Medicago truncatula: one gene and its partner. The protein of the gene in region 1 interacts with the protein of each later gene in a pairwise test. Links are inferred from orthologs where the notes say so. Each region holds a gene or a part of one and is shown on either strand. Other genes may lie near its edges.

Region 1 (7,360 bases):
TTTATCCCATCCTGGATGAATCCAGTTCTGCCTTGAATGTCCTCTTCACCCACATGAACAATAATAAGTTCTTTTTTAGCATTTACCCCCTCCTGGATGAATCCAGTTCTGCCTTGTATGTCCTCTTCATCGTCATCAATATCTTTAAGCTCCTTCCTGAGAGTAGGCCTACTGTTGATTTCCATTGAGTTTCTGCTGTATATCATGCCAGACTCTAAGCCTTTTGAGGGAATCATTCCAGACTCGATAGTCTCTAACTGTTGCTGCACTTCTGAAAGTGTTTCAAAAGAACAAGATTGAGCCATCTCGTAAGTCGATTGATCAGAACTTGCATCATTAACCCAAGAGACGTCAAAAGCAAACTCTGTCATTTTCTGTCTTTTCGTAGGTTGTAACATGGCATGAGTGAAACTGTTCTGAAAATCCAACTCCTGGGATTTATTTCGCCTTGTATCTTCCAGTTCTAAGCACGAACTCGTGCCAGGAGAAAGATTGGATTGTTCCGAAATATCCGCTGAAACAAGTTTAGGGAATGTCGAATGTAAATCTTCAAATTGAATGGACTTTCCCATTGAAGTAGGAAAACTCGTAGACTCGTTATTTTGGATAAACCCCAAACAATCTCTCTGTTTTGACAGATTCATCTCCACTGCAAAAGTAGCAAATTAAATGGGTAAAGCAATGCATTTGTTAAAAACAAAAATAATTCTAGCAAAGAAAGAAGCACAAAGTCAGTAATATGCAAAGATGAAATCAATATTGCACGAATAAGGATTAAAAATTGGGGAGAAATCACAATCTAATTTAAACATACCATTATTTGCGTGTTTCAGAGGAAAATAGTTGCTACTTGATCTGGTGTTAGCATCCAGATTGCTTCCACCATACAAAACGGGTAAGTTAGGAAGCACACACATATCAGCAAGTAGGGGGGTTGGCGAACCATCATCAGGAACGCAAGGCAGGCCATGAACAATAAAAGGGTCAGATAGTCTCCCTTCTGGAACGTCATAATAACCAGCGGCATCAGACTTGGAAAGACCCACTAGAGCTTGCATACGCTGATTCAACGTCTCTAGGTTCATATATTCCTCCTGCCAAATTCGTAGAAAAACAACTGTGCTTAATTGACAGAATACAGGTATAGTTTGCATTTTATACTATTATATGCAAATGTTGTTAGCAAAAAAAAGCACTTTATGTTCAGACACAACATTTCAAGAAACAAACCTTTGAAGCAGCAGTGGTAAGTAGCAATAATTCCAGCATAGGGGCAAATTGCTCATTCTGAATGATTTCAAAACTGAATAAAATTTATAGTTAGCATAGTCTCAATTCAATTGCAATCTTAAGTTGAAGCAAACTGAAGCAACCACGTTTCTATGAAAATTAAATCACTTTCACTTACATTCTTTTTCTTATCCAGTGACGGTTGTATGCCATTTCAGGATGATAACGCCAGTCTGTGGAGAATCCTGCTGGATTACTTACATGTTGACTGCATAATTTATCAAAACATCTCTTTTGCGGAGTGTTTGAGACAACTGATGAAGAATTTCTTGGCAATTCTCTCCAAATATTCCCACCAAGTTCAGAACCCTTCGCAAGCATCTTTTCAGCTTATCAGAAACAATTCACATTCTGAAGCCACAAAAAATAATACACAAATATCAGTTAGAGAAAATTCCAACAATGTTCTTGACGCACCATAAAGAGGGAAAACATGATTATCATAACTTTAAACAAGCTCACAGTTAAATTTGTCAAAATTTATCAAGAATTCGTTTATTAAGAACCCACATTTATTTGTTAATTCATTCAGGTTGAGAATGTGAATTAAATCGATTAATGAAAACGGAAATTAAGAACAAGATTGAAGTTATTATGATCAAATGATAACAATACCGACATTGAAAAACGATGAATTGATTAAGGAGTGCGCTAAAAAGAAAAGGCCCAATTACAATGAATGAAATTAGGGTTAGGGTTAGGGTTTAAGAATTGGGGATAACACTGTAGAACACAAAGATAACGTTAGAGAGAGAGAGAGAGAGAGAGAGAGAGAGAGAGAACAACCTGTATCGCTGAAGCTGTTGTTGTTGTGGTCCCTCCCTTGTGTCTCTTTCTTTATTCCTCTTCTTAACTTCTTACACGAAGGAGTATTTATATTCTTAGTTTAGGGTAATCTCTTGTTTAATTTAACATGAAAACAACAAGATAATTACGAGATTAATGTGATCCTCCTCATTTGTAATACTATGTCGGTTTCGAAATGAATGTCGTTTTAGGAAATGCAATAGTCTTGTCTATAGATTTGACATTTTTACTAAAATAGTCTTATTGACTATTGGTGCATTTCCCATCATTATAAATTAAAGTAAAATGTGGTACTTTGGAAATAGTGTGTGCGTAGTAATAATTAAGGGGTATTATTGAGAAAAAGTAATTAATAGTACATTGAAAACTAAAAGCGACATTCATTTTAAAACATCTTTTTAGCTAAAATTAGACTCAGTTTGAAATGGATGGATTATTAGTCTAAGATATGGTAGTGGTTTTTGTTTGTTGACAACTTTTAAAATAATGGTTGTTCTTAACTTTAACTTCTGAACAGTATTTATTTTTTGTTTTATTTAAGTTTTACATAATTTTTTTTTTTTGGAAATGTTAAAAGGAATTTAGGGCACTAGTTTTTTTTAGGGAATTTAGGACACTGGTTAAAAGGATAAAAACATAAATATTGCATTGAGAGATTGTGAAAAATGATGGATTTTATGTTTTAAAAGTTAAAATATCGTTGAATCAAATGTAAGTCTCCTACTTTTTGTTTATTTTACAAATGTCATAAGGATAGTTATTTACATAATCATTTTTTTTTATTATAAAAGATTGAGATAAATCTTCAGTATATAACATAGGGAAATGATGAAGGGTGTGATAGAGAGTATCTTAGACACACGATGTTTTGATCTATTAAAAAATAAGTATTTTTCATAATAGACATAACAATACTTACACAACATAAGATATAACAACACACGGTAAACTTTTAATATATCAAACAATTTTTTATTTTATATGATGTTTGATAAACAAAAGATTATTTTTGTCTTTTAAAACTTGTACTTAAAAAAAGTGTTATGGTGTAGTGATGAATACAAATTTCCGTTAGTCGGACCTCTAGTTTACTATATCTCTAGAACAATTTTAAAATTAAACACAATATAATTAAAGTTGTTTTAGCATCAAACGAGAAACTAAAGTGTTTAGCATGAAATAGTTAGCGAGTTCTCAATAGAAAGAATCGTTTGAAAAAACTTGAGTTTATTTTTTAGGTTTAATTGCGCTTTTGGCCCTCTATCTTTTCAAAAGTTACGATTTTAGCCCCCTAACTAATTAAAATACAAAACAGCCCCCTATGTATTGGATCTTTGGCAGTTTTGACCCCCAAAATATATGCCTCGCTTGGTGGACAAGGCCATATTTATCGATGCGGTGGTTGAAGAAAAATGTTGTAACTGTTTCTATTGAGTTATATGGGTGGTAGCAACGACCTTTAAATTGTTTGAGCGTTGATAAGATATTTTTACTTTACTTCCTCTTACCGGTGAATTGTTGCGTTTGAACTTTGTTGCTCTTCCTTAATCTTTTATCCTTTAATATAAATTGAGGAATGATATTTTGACAACCAATTTCCAACAACTTTTAGTGACAATTTTTTCCTCTCTTTTCATTGGACAATAACAATAGAGAGAGAAAAATGAAGAGAGAGAATAAAAGTACAATAAGAGTATGAGAGAGAGTTGTCACAAAAGTTGTTAAAAAATGGATGTTAAAATATCATTTCTCATATAAATTTCATCTTGCCTTGTTCAAAAAAAAAATGTCGTCCACACTTAAAAAAAAATCATTTTTTTAACACGTTGAAGCTTTGATGACTAAACTAGACAATATCTACGAAGGACTAGCACCCTATATCATTGTGTAATGTTCGGTATAGTTTAAATCAAGTAATCTTCTTCTCATACTCAAAGATTGTTGTTAATGATGCGTTTAATCAAGAGTTTTTGATTGCATTTATATTTTCTTCTCATATGAAGTTTTCTAAAAAAAAAAAAAAAAAAAAAAGCTAGTGTGATGATTCCAACTTCAATGAAATTTAAATGAAGGGTTAATGGGGTAAAACACCATTAACCCTTAAATGAAGTAGTCATTTACTATAGTGCAAAAAAAGTAGCACAGTACAAACTAAATTATTTTTTAAGCTGATATTTTACAAGGAGGGGTCTGAAAGTAAAAAAGTAAGAAGAAAAACTGACAAAAGGTCCCGAATTGAATTGATTACAGCTCAACTGAAACAAACGTTAGAGACACGAAGAGAGTGTGAGAATGATACAAGAGAAGTTTTGTACAAAAAAGACAAACATGCATCCATTAAAATCAACCAACAACAGAAAACTCCACAACTACATTTTCTAACAACACAAAGAAAGAACCTTTTGCTTTTTCACCGAAAACGATTGATTCATTCCTCTCTCTCTCTCTCTAGCGTACTTCACAGCTATGCAGCAGAGTGAGATGGGTAATCAATGGCGGTTCTGAGAATGGTTCACTCACACTCACAGTCTCAAAACAACAACAACAACAACATCAGTGGGACCCAACACTTCCTCCATGATTTTCTCGGCATGAAGCCAACTGATACTTCCATCGACGTTAGGTTACCGGAGGCATCAGCATCTGCCTCCTCCGCCGGTGCTCGTGGCCCTTTCTCCTCCACCTCCGAAACCGCTTCTGGTAAGTACTATTAAACAACTAAACTTTTCATTTTTAGCCACATTTCCCCCTTGTTTCATTTTTTTTACCGAGTTTATTCTCATCCACTAAACTTCTTTACTTTCCATTTTTTTCTCTTTTGGTGGGGTATCAATTTATTCCCTCATTTTTTTTTTGTGTCTTTGGATTTGGGTTGTTTCAAGTTAGTTGGAGTTGATTGTTTTCCCCTTCGTATGCAAATTTATGGTCATGATTTTCTGGACTTTATTTTGCTTTAGAGTATGGTGTATGATTTGATTATTTGTTTCCATGAAATAATTTAGACTCAGAGAATTGAATTTAATCATTTTATACTGAAAATACTATTATTTTGAACTGAAAACTTTGTTATGTCATGTGAATGTTTGTGCATTGGGAAGTACAATGATATGAATTTTTAGGTTTTATCAAAATTTTTGCTTTTGTGTTGGTCTGATTTTTCTTTTTTTGGTTTCTTATTCTGGAAAGAGTTATAATTGTAAACACACATTGTTTATAGTAAGTTTCTATGTTATCTTTAAAAGGAATGTAATGTTTTTTCCCTCATCAATTTGGTAGAAAAGCAGGTATCGAATCATCTTGAGGGAGTTCCATTCTATGGCCCAAGAAGTGATTTTTCTGGCACTGAGATAAGTAACAGACTAGTGGGGAATAAAAGAAGTAATTCTGATTCCTCATTTATGGGTTCCTCCAGAGATGCCTTTCAAATGGTCCCTGATTCCTTTCAAAACTCACATTTGATGAAGGTTACTTTAAAATATCACTTAATTCTTTTCCTCTAATATATTCAATAGCCAAAAAAAAAAAAACACTTTTGCTTTTATATTATTTTCTTTGATGTCTTAAGTCCTGTCTTCGTACAGGTCCTCCGAAATGCATCTGGGGGAGAGAGATCCAGAAGGCCTAATGATGACGAAGTGTTACTTGGTATGCAGTCAATGAAGCCATCTTCTAGTTCTCAGATATTTCATGCTCCCGCCAACACGAAGATCGATGCGAATAAATGGGAACGGTCTATTCTCATGAATGCTGGCCCTTCCATGCAGCATCCTCCGCGTGGAGGACAGTTGACTCCTTTTGCACACCAACTAGCTTCAAACAAGCTTAGGGATACCATTGTCGGCCCTTCATTTATCTCTCAGCCTGCCGCTGATGAAGGATCTAGAACTGGAATCAAAGGCCCTGGAATTTTAAGTTCCATAAACACAGCTTCTACTGCTACTGATAAAATCTCATCTGTAGTGCTGCTCGGTGGAAGCAGACCAAAACCTCTAACTAACATAATTGAATCATCCACGCCCCCAAGGTAAATTTATCTTATATATACAGTTGCTCAATTCACCTTGTTTCTATTTATTTTCACTCCCTTTACCTTGGAAAAAGAAGTTGATTGACTTTATGCATTTTGGCATTGAGCAGTAGTCAACATGGGCTAACAGCTGCCAGCCGCCAGATGACTATCTTTTATGGAGGTCAAGCTCATGTTTTTGATGATGTCCACAAACATAAGGTCTGACCTCGTATTCTTAACGTGTCATATCTGTTAACTGCATTTAGTGAAATAAGGCCTGAAATTAGTTTGGATTTGTGAATCATCATGGGTAACAAATTGTGCCTTAAAAAACTCGCTCTGCGGTTCATTCGTGGTTGATTTAAAGATCATTCAATCTACTTACAGTTAAATTTAAACTCATCAGGTTTCAGCTGAAATATGGTATTGATAGTCGGAGTTAATTTCCGTACAACACTTATGTTGCTGTTTCTACAGCCTATTTTGGTAGTCATTGCACAATATGGTGGATGTGCTGAACCTATAATATTTAGGGTTAATAGGTCTTTACCCCCTGTAATATAGGTCATTTCCGGTTTTCCCCCTGTAAAGTTTTTATTTTGATTCACCCCCTTGTAAAATATTTTTGTTTTGATTTACCCCCCTAATAGGCCAAACAAAAACGAAAATTTCTTGAAAAAAAAAATAAAATTTGTTTTTGTTTAGCCTATTAGGGGGTAAATCAAAACAAAAATATTTTACAGGGGGGTGAATCAAAATAAAACTTTTACAGGGGTGAAAACCAGAAATGACCTATATTACAGGGGGGGTAAAGACCTATTAACCCTAATATTTAATAGAAAAAGATTTCATAGCAACCAATCATACATTTGCTTAAGCTTTGGGTACACCGGTGGAGTCACTTTTGAAAACAGTCTTTTTCTCTTACTGGTTTAGTTAGACATTACTAGTATATAAAGTCAGCTTAGGGAGTGTTCTTTATAAGGAATGTATTTGGATGATAGTTTCTATGGATTTAGTTAAGACATTACTAGTATATAAAGTCAGCTTAGGGAGTGTTCTTCATCTTATTCTTTCTAGGATTTTTTTCTTGATCTTTTCAATATGTTTCCCCGCTGAAATTTGGAAGTTTTCAAAATTCTCTAAAAAAATGTTTGGCTTTCCAAACACATTGCTGATGCTAAGTTAAAGTTAAATTCACTTGTGTATGTGTGTTAGTAAGTAGCATTCTTTCATATACATTTTATTTCACTA
Region 2 (7,492 bases), on another chromosome or scaffold:
CACTACTGCTTCTTTCTGTTTCACTGGATTGCCTTTCCGTTTTGTAAATGGGGCGATTGTAATGAGTTAAAATACGCAAAATTTCACCACATGCAAGAGCCCATTGTTCTGAATATTCATTCTGCAAAACCATGAAAAGAAGGAATTAAATGATAGAGAGTCTCTTTGTTAATACTGAAACTGAATAAGTGCTATAAGTAATTGGTTAATAAACAGAGAAACAGAAAGCAAAAATATTATATTTCACAAACAAAGGATTTATTGATATGAAATTGAATTATATACAAAGTAAATAAGAATACCGGGCAAGGATTATATTTATACCTCATCTTTTGGGCAGACTAAAGATATCAAAGAAGCAAATGGAGGACTAGTCTTATCATAGACTAGTGTACCATCGATAATACACGAAATAATAGGAAGTACAACTGCATGCCCATGCTCTGGATGATGAAGGACAAATGTTGCTGGATGTACAAGTAAATACATAGAGAAGTTAGCACACATAAAGTAGAAAGAGTGATATTCTTGTCGACTCAAGCATGATTTAAACTAACATGGGATTAAGCATAAATACCCAAAACGTCATCAAAGAGAATAATTTCCTTCGACGGGTAACGGTTGCGGATCAACTGTCAAAGTAATACAGAACAGTGAGTGACATTCAATAAAAACTCTTGGATCTCTCATGTCAAAAACAACACCACAAAAAATAAGAATCACAATTTTAATAAGTAAATAGAAGTGTACCTCAGCAATATCGTCAGCAAACTGTTCTGATGTAAACTGAATCAAGTACTCAACATATGCAGCAATTTGATCCTGGGAAAAGCAGAAAACAACATCATATAAACCAATGAAATGGAGTTACAGTGAGCTTCCAATATTCTAGAAGCCATAAAATGCTTTCATATGGAATAAGAAACAATTATTTTCAGCATAACAAATGATCAAAACACTGCTGCTTTCTACCTAGCAAGATACATTTAGAAAAGATTGTCAATACGCGGGAAACTTGTGTGAAACCACATTGACAAAACACTGCGGCTCAGTCAGAATTAGCTCTAACTAGTGGAAGCATCAGCTGAGATAAGTAATTGACTCTTAACTTATAAAAAAAGTCCTTATAAGTTTATGACTGCTTATGGAGAAGTTATATGCAGCGTGTTTTGAAAAGGTTAAGGTGCAAAAGTTAATTTCAACTTATGCAAGAAACTATTATTTAGAAAATTCATAATTGATTGTAAGATTACTTCAACTTTTCTTTTCTTGTAAATGTTTGCTAAAACTGTAATCAAATTGGCCCCACAAAGTCAATGCTTATATCACCCCATTTCTGGGACACTTTGTTTTACTTCAAAGTTTGCAATTGCCATAACTAGAAAGTTACAAAACAAATTATTCCTGCTGTCGATAGATCTCAGTTGTTCAATGAAGATCAGACAGTTCATATCCTGTGTTGTATTTTAAATCCAATTTGATAAAATCAAAATATGTATTTGTCTGATCTTCATCCAACGCCAAGACCTGCTGATTGTAGCATATGCATAGATTCTGAAATATCACATCACATCATCATGTATTATTTACATATGTTTGTGTGACGTTGTATGTATATGTCTCTTTAACAACATCTCCATATCTGCTACTCCTCTTGAAGAATACCGATATAAAATTTTCAATTCCCTAGTACTCTAAAAGATTTTTTTGGAATAAACTCTAAAAGATTTTTATCAAACATTGGATCATTAAACAAAATAGAGTGAGTTTAAAAACGATACACTAACTATAAAAATGTTTTAGTGTTTACACATACATCCAATCGTATCTCATCATTAGATATTTGTGAAGATATTTTATGAAGTAATATAACAAAGCGATATTTTGTGAAAATATGATTAGATGCATATTTAAAACTTTTTCTAATCTTCAAACTCAACAAAATAATAATAATTAGGATCCTTCCATCCCATCATGTCCTTAAGGCAAACTTTATATTAAAACTCATAAAAATTTAATAAAAAAATACATATACATGAAAAAAGTAAAGAAAATAACTTTCCTAAAACATGGTAAGAGATTAAAATGATACCTTTTTTTGCTGAACATCTTGTGGGGGAGGCCAGAATAATGAAGAAAATTGAAGACGGTCAATCCACCTTTCACTTGTAGCAGCCATAGAAGAAGAAGTCATCAAAAACTTTCAACTCTTGAATCCTTTAGCTTCTGATTATATATGAAAAGCAATTTTATCCCAAATCCATCCAAAACATGATACCAATCAAGTATTAAATCCTGTGTTACCAAACTCATCTTAGTATCCAATTCATCATCATCCACCAAAAAATAATAATTCAAATTTTTTTCATTTGACAGAATAAGACAAACAAATGCATCTCATAGAAAATTGTAGCTATTTCACTACAATAACTACTAGGTTGCTATGTTGAGATTGAATCTGCAAACTTTAAAACAAAATTGTTATTGATTTCTAAATTTATTTTCACTGTGAAAAATGTTAATTTAAAAAATTGAAATGATGAAGATAGGGATGAATCTGAAACAGAGTCCTGGTAAACAGAGCAAAATGAAATTTACAGAATATAAAAAAGTAAATATGTAAGCTAAATATTTAAAGGCTTATAAATAAAAAAAGAATTAAGAAAATAAATATATATCTAACAAGTCAGATTCATAATAGAAATTTTTTGAAGAAATTAAAGTAAAAAATTTGATGAAACTGAAATAAGAAATTAGCACATAACCTGAAAACTGATGGTTTAATTGTGTTAAAAAAAATAGAAAGAAAAATATGTACCTGGGTTAGCTTAGCTGAGCTGTGTGTAGAGCTAATTGGAAATTTTCTGAATTGATAGGATGAGAAGATGTAAGTGTGAGAATGGAGAGTATTGTGTAATGATCAAAAGGAGGAAAGAAATGATAGAAAGAGGGTTGTGGTAAGTTTATAGTTTGGAAATGAAGATGTTAGATAGATAGATAGAATAGAAGAAGAATACAACAAGTGGAGAGAGAAGATCTTTAACAGCCTTGTAATGAGAAGCCTAGATCGACTGCATACGTGGATGCGATATTTTCCTCTCCTCTCAGACATCCACGCCATCTCATGTGCTATATCTATGTATGTATCATTCATGCATGCATGCATGCCCTGTCCCAACCATATTAAGTAACATCACTATATTTTACTATCAGACTTTCATATTTATATTACTTCTTATTGAATTTATATCTACTACATAGAATTGAAATTCAGATAAATATTTAACGTTTGCAAATTTACATAAACGATATTATCATTTGCCACGTGTGCTTAGTTCAATTGATATGCAAGGTTCGGGGTTTAAATCCCGGCCACCACCAAAAAAACAATATTATCATTTTTTTACAATTTAATATATTATCATTTTTTGAAGGAAAAAAAAATATATTATCATATCAGCAAATAAATTTACTTTATTATAATTATGGTATGATATGATTATACATTTAAATAATATATATTTATTTTTTTGCACAAATTTAAATAATATTTATATTACATGGTGTTTTTACATTTTAAAAAATATTAAAAATTGATAGGAAAAAAATAAATATATATATATATATATATATATATATATATATATATATATATATATATATATATATATATTTGTTATGTTACCTTCCTTTAAAAGAATGTTATGTTACCTTCCTTATACTCTATGTGTATTGGGGATGATTGATGTTTAAAGTCGTTATTTTAATTTTTTTACTTAAATGTATCTTTTTTAAAATTTCTCTCCTCCATCTCATTTTGGAATCAATTTTGCTGATGTGCCTTATTCATTAATGATGAGGCACCAGTTGTCTGGTCGCATTGAATTTCCATATCATTAATAATTTTATTTATTCATTAACTTTTATTTTAAAAATATTTTTATTATTCAAATATAATATTAAATTAAAATAACAATAAAATAAATTATGCCCTAATTCATGTTACTTCTCCCAATTTAAAAATGAAACTGTTGTCGATCGTTGCGTTCTTTCTTTCTTATTCGTCTTCAATCATTCTTCATGAATTTTTATTTGTTTAGGGATCAAGATCATTGAACCGTTGAACTCATTGTCTCATTTGGCGTAAGTTTGATATCAAAGAGAGTATGTCAGAATCACGGTGATCCATCATAATTTTGTAGAAGCTACATTATGTAGTTTTTGAAAAATCACGGTGGGTTCCCGTTATTCTGACATTTCCATTGTGATACTAATTTACCAAATATAGGCTTGGTACTTTTTTTTTTTTACAAGATCTCTCCATGCAATGACGAGTCGCTCCACATTTTCAAAGAAAGTGTTGAGCCTATGTAGATTGGCAACTTGTTGTTTTTGTTTAACACAAGCTTGAGGCTCGAGTGGAGCTTTAGTAGAGACTATGTGATACTAGGAAAATATATATAAGTCATGAAGTGGGAAGATTTTTTTTTAGAGAATGAAGTGGGAAATTTTGTGTTAGCCGTAATCCAATTTGCATTTACAATTTTTTTTTTTTTTTGAAGGAATTTGCATTTACAATTGGCATCACCTTAAGGTTGCACACTAAATGGCGCCCATCTGGACATTACACAATACCCTATTCATGTTCAAATACTTTGTTCTTGCCACAACCAAATTTCAATCTCCCTCTTGTTTCACCATTAATGCCATTCATTTCCATCAAAATATAATACTATCTACAATATCCATTGGAACCTACAACAAAGCTAGTTCTCTTGCACACCACAAGCAAAACCAACAAACACTCCCACTGTCTGCACTCAAGCATAAGCCTCATTCAAGAAGACCTTGTAGTTTCTTTTCAGTGTTATTGTCCCGTGTAAGCCTTTTCTAACCTGTCGTCTGATTACCTTTTCAAATATAAATTGCAATTAAACATAGTGAAAATTTGTGTATCTTTTTTTGTAAAAAAAAACTGTGCAAATTTTGAACTTGCTCTTGGCACTTTAATTGCAGTTTTGGTCCCCTCTTTTTATTGTTTTGCGAAATTGGTCCCACTATTTTAAAATTGGACAATTTTGATCCTGTATCAATTTTTTTGTCTAAAATATTGTGATATGATATGTTTTAAATAAAGTTTTTAAGGGAATTTTGTTGCAATTTATGGATGTTGATCTTTTTTCATCTTCAGATCATATTCCACGATATTTAAAATTTATCAGATCATATTTTTATAGTTCAAAAATATAATGGATGGACCAAAACTGTCAAATTTTAAAATAGGAGGACTTATTCTATAAAATAATAAAAATAGGAGGACTAAAATTGCAATTAACCCTAATATTTTTAAACAACTTGTGAGCATTTCCCTTTTAATATTGGGTGTTGTTCAAAAAGTTGAAATAATTGGAGCGAGACAGCAGCCAATAAAATATAAAGTTCTTGGCGTTAGTGGGTTGGCTTTGCCTCGGTGTGTAGTGGTGTCAACTGTGTGCTAGATTTCTTCAAAAAAATTAAAAAACTGTGTGCTAGATATTTGTGTCTGGGTCTTTTTTTTTCCTTTTTCTAATCAGTAGTGTCTTGTACAAGTAACTCCAAAAATCAATCTCAATTTCAATAAACTTATAAAAGACAACAAATCTCCCTTAAAAAAAGACAACAGAGCTCTTCTCAAGAGTTTTAGTGGTGTTGCATTTCTTGAACATGCAATCTCTGGTTAAACCTGAATCATTTCATTCAAAGGTTCTTAGATATTTTTGTCCTCAAATATAAGAATATTCTTTTAAGTTTTAGAAAATTTATAAGACTTGTTTAAATAGACATTTATATTTTCAAACTGAACGATTTCTTAGAGAGGACTTTCAACCGAATTTTCTTGTAAGAAAAAAAGTCTATTGGTATATTTGTTTTTTTATTTCAGTACTCATTGGTATTTTTATTATGTGGAATAAGACTATCTATAAGAGGCTTAATCACAAAAGGACAATATATAAGAGAGGAATAATGAAATGAATGCATAATTTAATCAGGATAGATCTCAAGGCCCGTAAAATATTACTTACATATCACCCACAAAAGATGTAGTTGACAATTTAATCAACTCTAACCATCTTTTCCATGAACAACCTTAACCATCTTTTTTTTTTCTTCGAGATAAACAACCCTAATATCGCCGTGATAGTGTCACAACACAATTATCACTTGTAATAACCAAGTGATTCAGTGGAAAATTTTATGTTCAAATTTTAATTAAAATATTTTTTTTTTCAGATTTTACTTAGGAGTTGGTTGAACTCCAAATAAACATGACACATTCTCCCAATAAATCATAGTGTAAAACAAACCAAAAAAATATCATAACTCCTTAATCTTAAACGTGTTTACTCCACATGAAAGTGATATAGGTGAATCCCACTATCCCAACATTTCAAAAGGTCAACCTAAACTAATTTACAATGTTGTATAGGAACCCATTAATGTTCAGCAAACCTTTCATGATCATCCTTTCGGAGGGCACTAAGCCACCATTAAGGGCTGACTGGTCATGTATGGTAAACATAGTTTGTCTTGCTATTACCATATTTAGCAAATGCTAATAGGTTCTTGCTTTTTAGTTGACTTAAGTTTTATTGGCCACTCTTGCCTTTTTTTTTTTCAAAAATTAAATATCACAAGACAAGAACATTCAAGCATTCAATAAAATTTGTTCAAAGTGGAGAAACATATTGATTTAGTAATGGCTAGTGCAATTTATAGTTTAAAATTAAACACGTTAGTCAGTGTTGATTGATTGAAAGATACCACCACTAATTAGTGCTCTACTTGACGGGTTGATTCTTCTTTCTTTAAAGCAGCTTTAATTTATTTAACATATAAAATAACATAATTTTGTATTAGTTAAGTCAAACTTTTTCAACAGAAGAAGTAGGGGAAAATGGAAATGGTTTTCTAGTAGCGGTTTTCTTCTTTATTCACACAAGGCATGCTTAAGACTAAAATATATAAAAAGACATGATACTTTAAAACTAAAATTTTGATGTTAAATATGATTCATTTGATTTTATTTGTACTTTTAAAATGCATCTAAGTTGGAGAAAATAGAAAGTAAAAGAGATATAAAGATTATGCAAATATATATATATATATATATGATCAACTTTATATGTATTTTGATTTTCAACATTAGACGATGTATGAATCGAATCATGATCTTTTATGAAACAAAATTCATTGATGATTTTTTTTTAGAGGAACTCATCGATGATTTTAAAATGTTTCCAAATCATTTTCAATGTATAGTCTAAGGTTCTAAATGCAATCATAATATATTCCCACCCTTGTGAATGTTCCAATTAATTTAATACAGATTCTCCTAGTCTCATGCAATTGTGAACCTTAAGATCAGTGCATATTTGAACAAACCATTTGAATTATACTACGTTTACTAACTAAGCCATTCTAAGATGTATGTTTGACAATCATAAAAATTAAT

Evidence for each region. The genes of interacting proteins can lie anywhere in the genome.
Region 2: the proteins of protein TIFY 8 (region 1) and protein GIGANTEA interact in binary tests that used the Arabidopsis thaliana proteins (3 or more experiments, as listed by UniProt). The link is inferred for Medicago truncatula from reciprocal best matches to the Arabidopsis thaliana genes TIFY8 and GI.

What each region holds. Positions count from the first base shown.
Region 1 is NC_053044.1:53,327,375-53,334,734, reverse strand, and holds the start of protein TIFY 8, read left to right. Parts: upstream 1-4,331; 5' UTR 4,332-4,589; coding exon 4,590-4,797; intron 4,798-5,373; coding exon 5,374-5,561; intron 5,562-5,678; coding exon 5,679-6,121; intron 6,122-6,234; coding exon 6,235-6,325; intron 6,326-7,360. Other genes in the region: histone acetyltransferase HAC12, read right to left, coding at 1-649, 815-1,094, 1,231-1,303, 1,409-1,611. UniProt on the Arabidopsis thaliana protein: Repressor of jasmonate responses.
Region 2 is NC_053042.1:47,807,794-47,815,285, reverse strand, and holds the start of protein GIGANTEA, read right to left. Parts: upstream 3,018-7,492; 5' UTR 2,819-3,017; intron 2,296-2,818; 5' UTR 2,195-2,295; coding exon 2,093-2,194; intron 825-2,092; coding exon of another isoform or gene 823-824; coding exon 751-822; intron 633-750; coding exon 578-632; exon of another isoform or gene 558-577; intron 468-557; coding exon 325-467; intron 122-324; coding exon 1-121. UniProt on the Arabidopsis thaliana protein: Involved in regulation of circadian rhythm and photoperiodic flowering. May play a role in maintenance of circadian amplitude and period length. Is involved in phytochrome B signaling. Stabilizes ADO3 and the circadian photoreceptor ADO1/ZTL.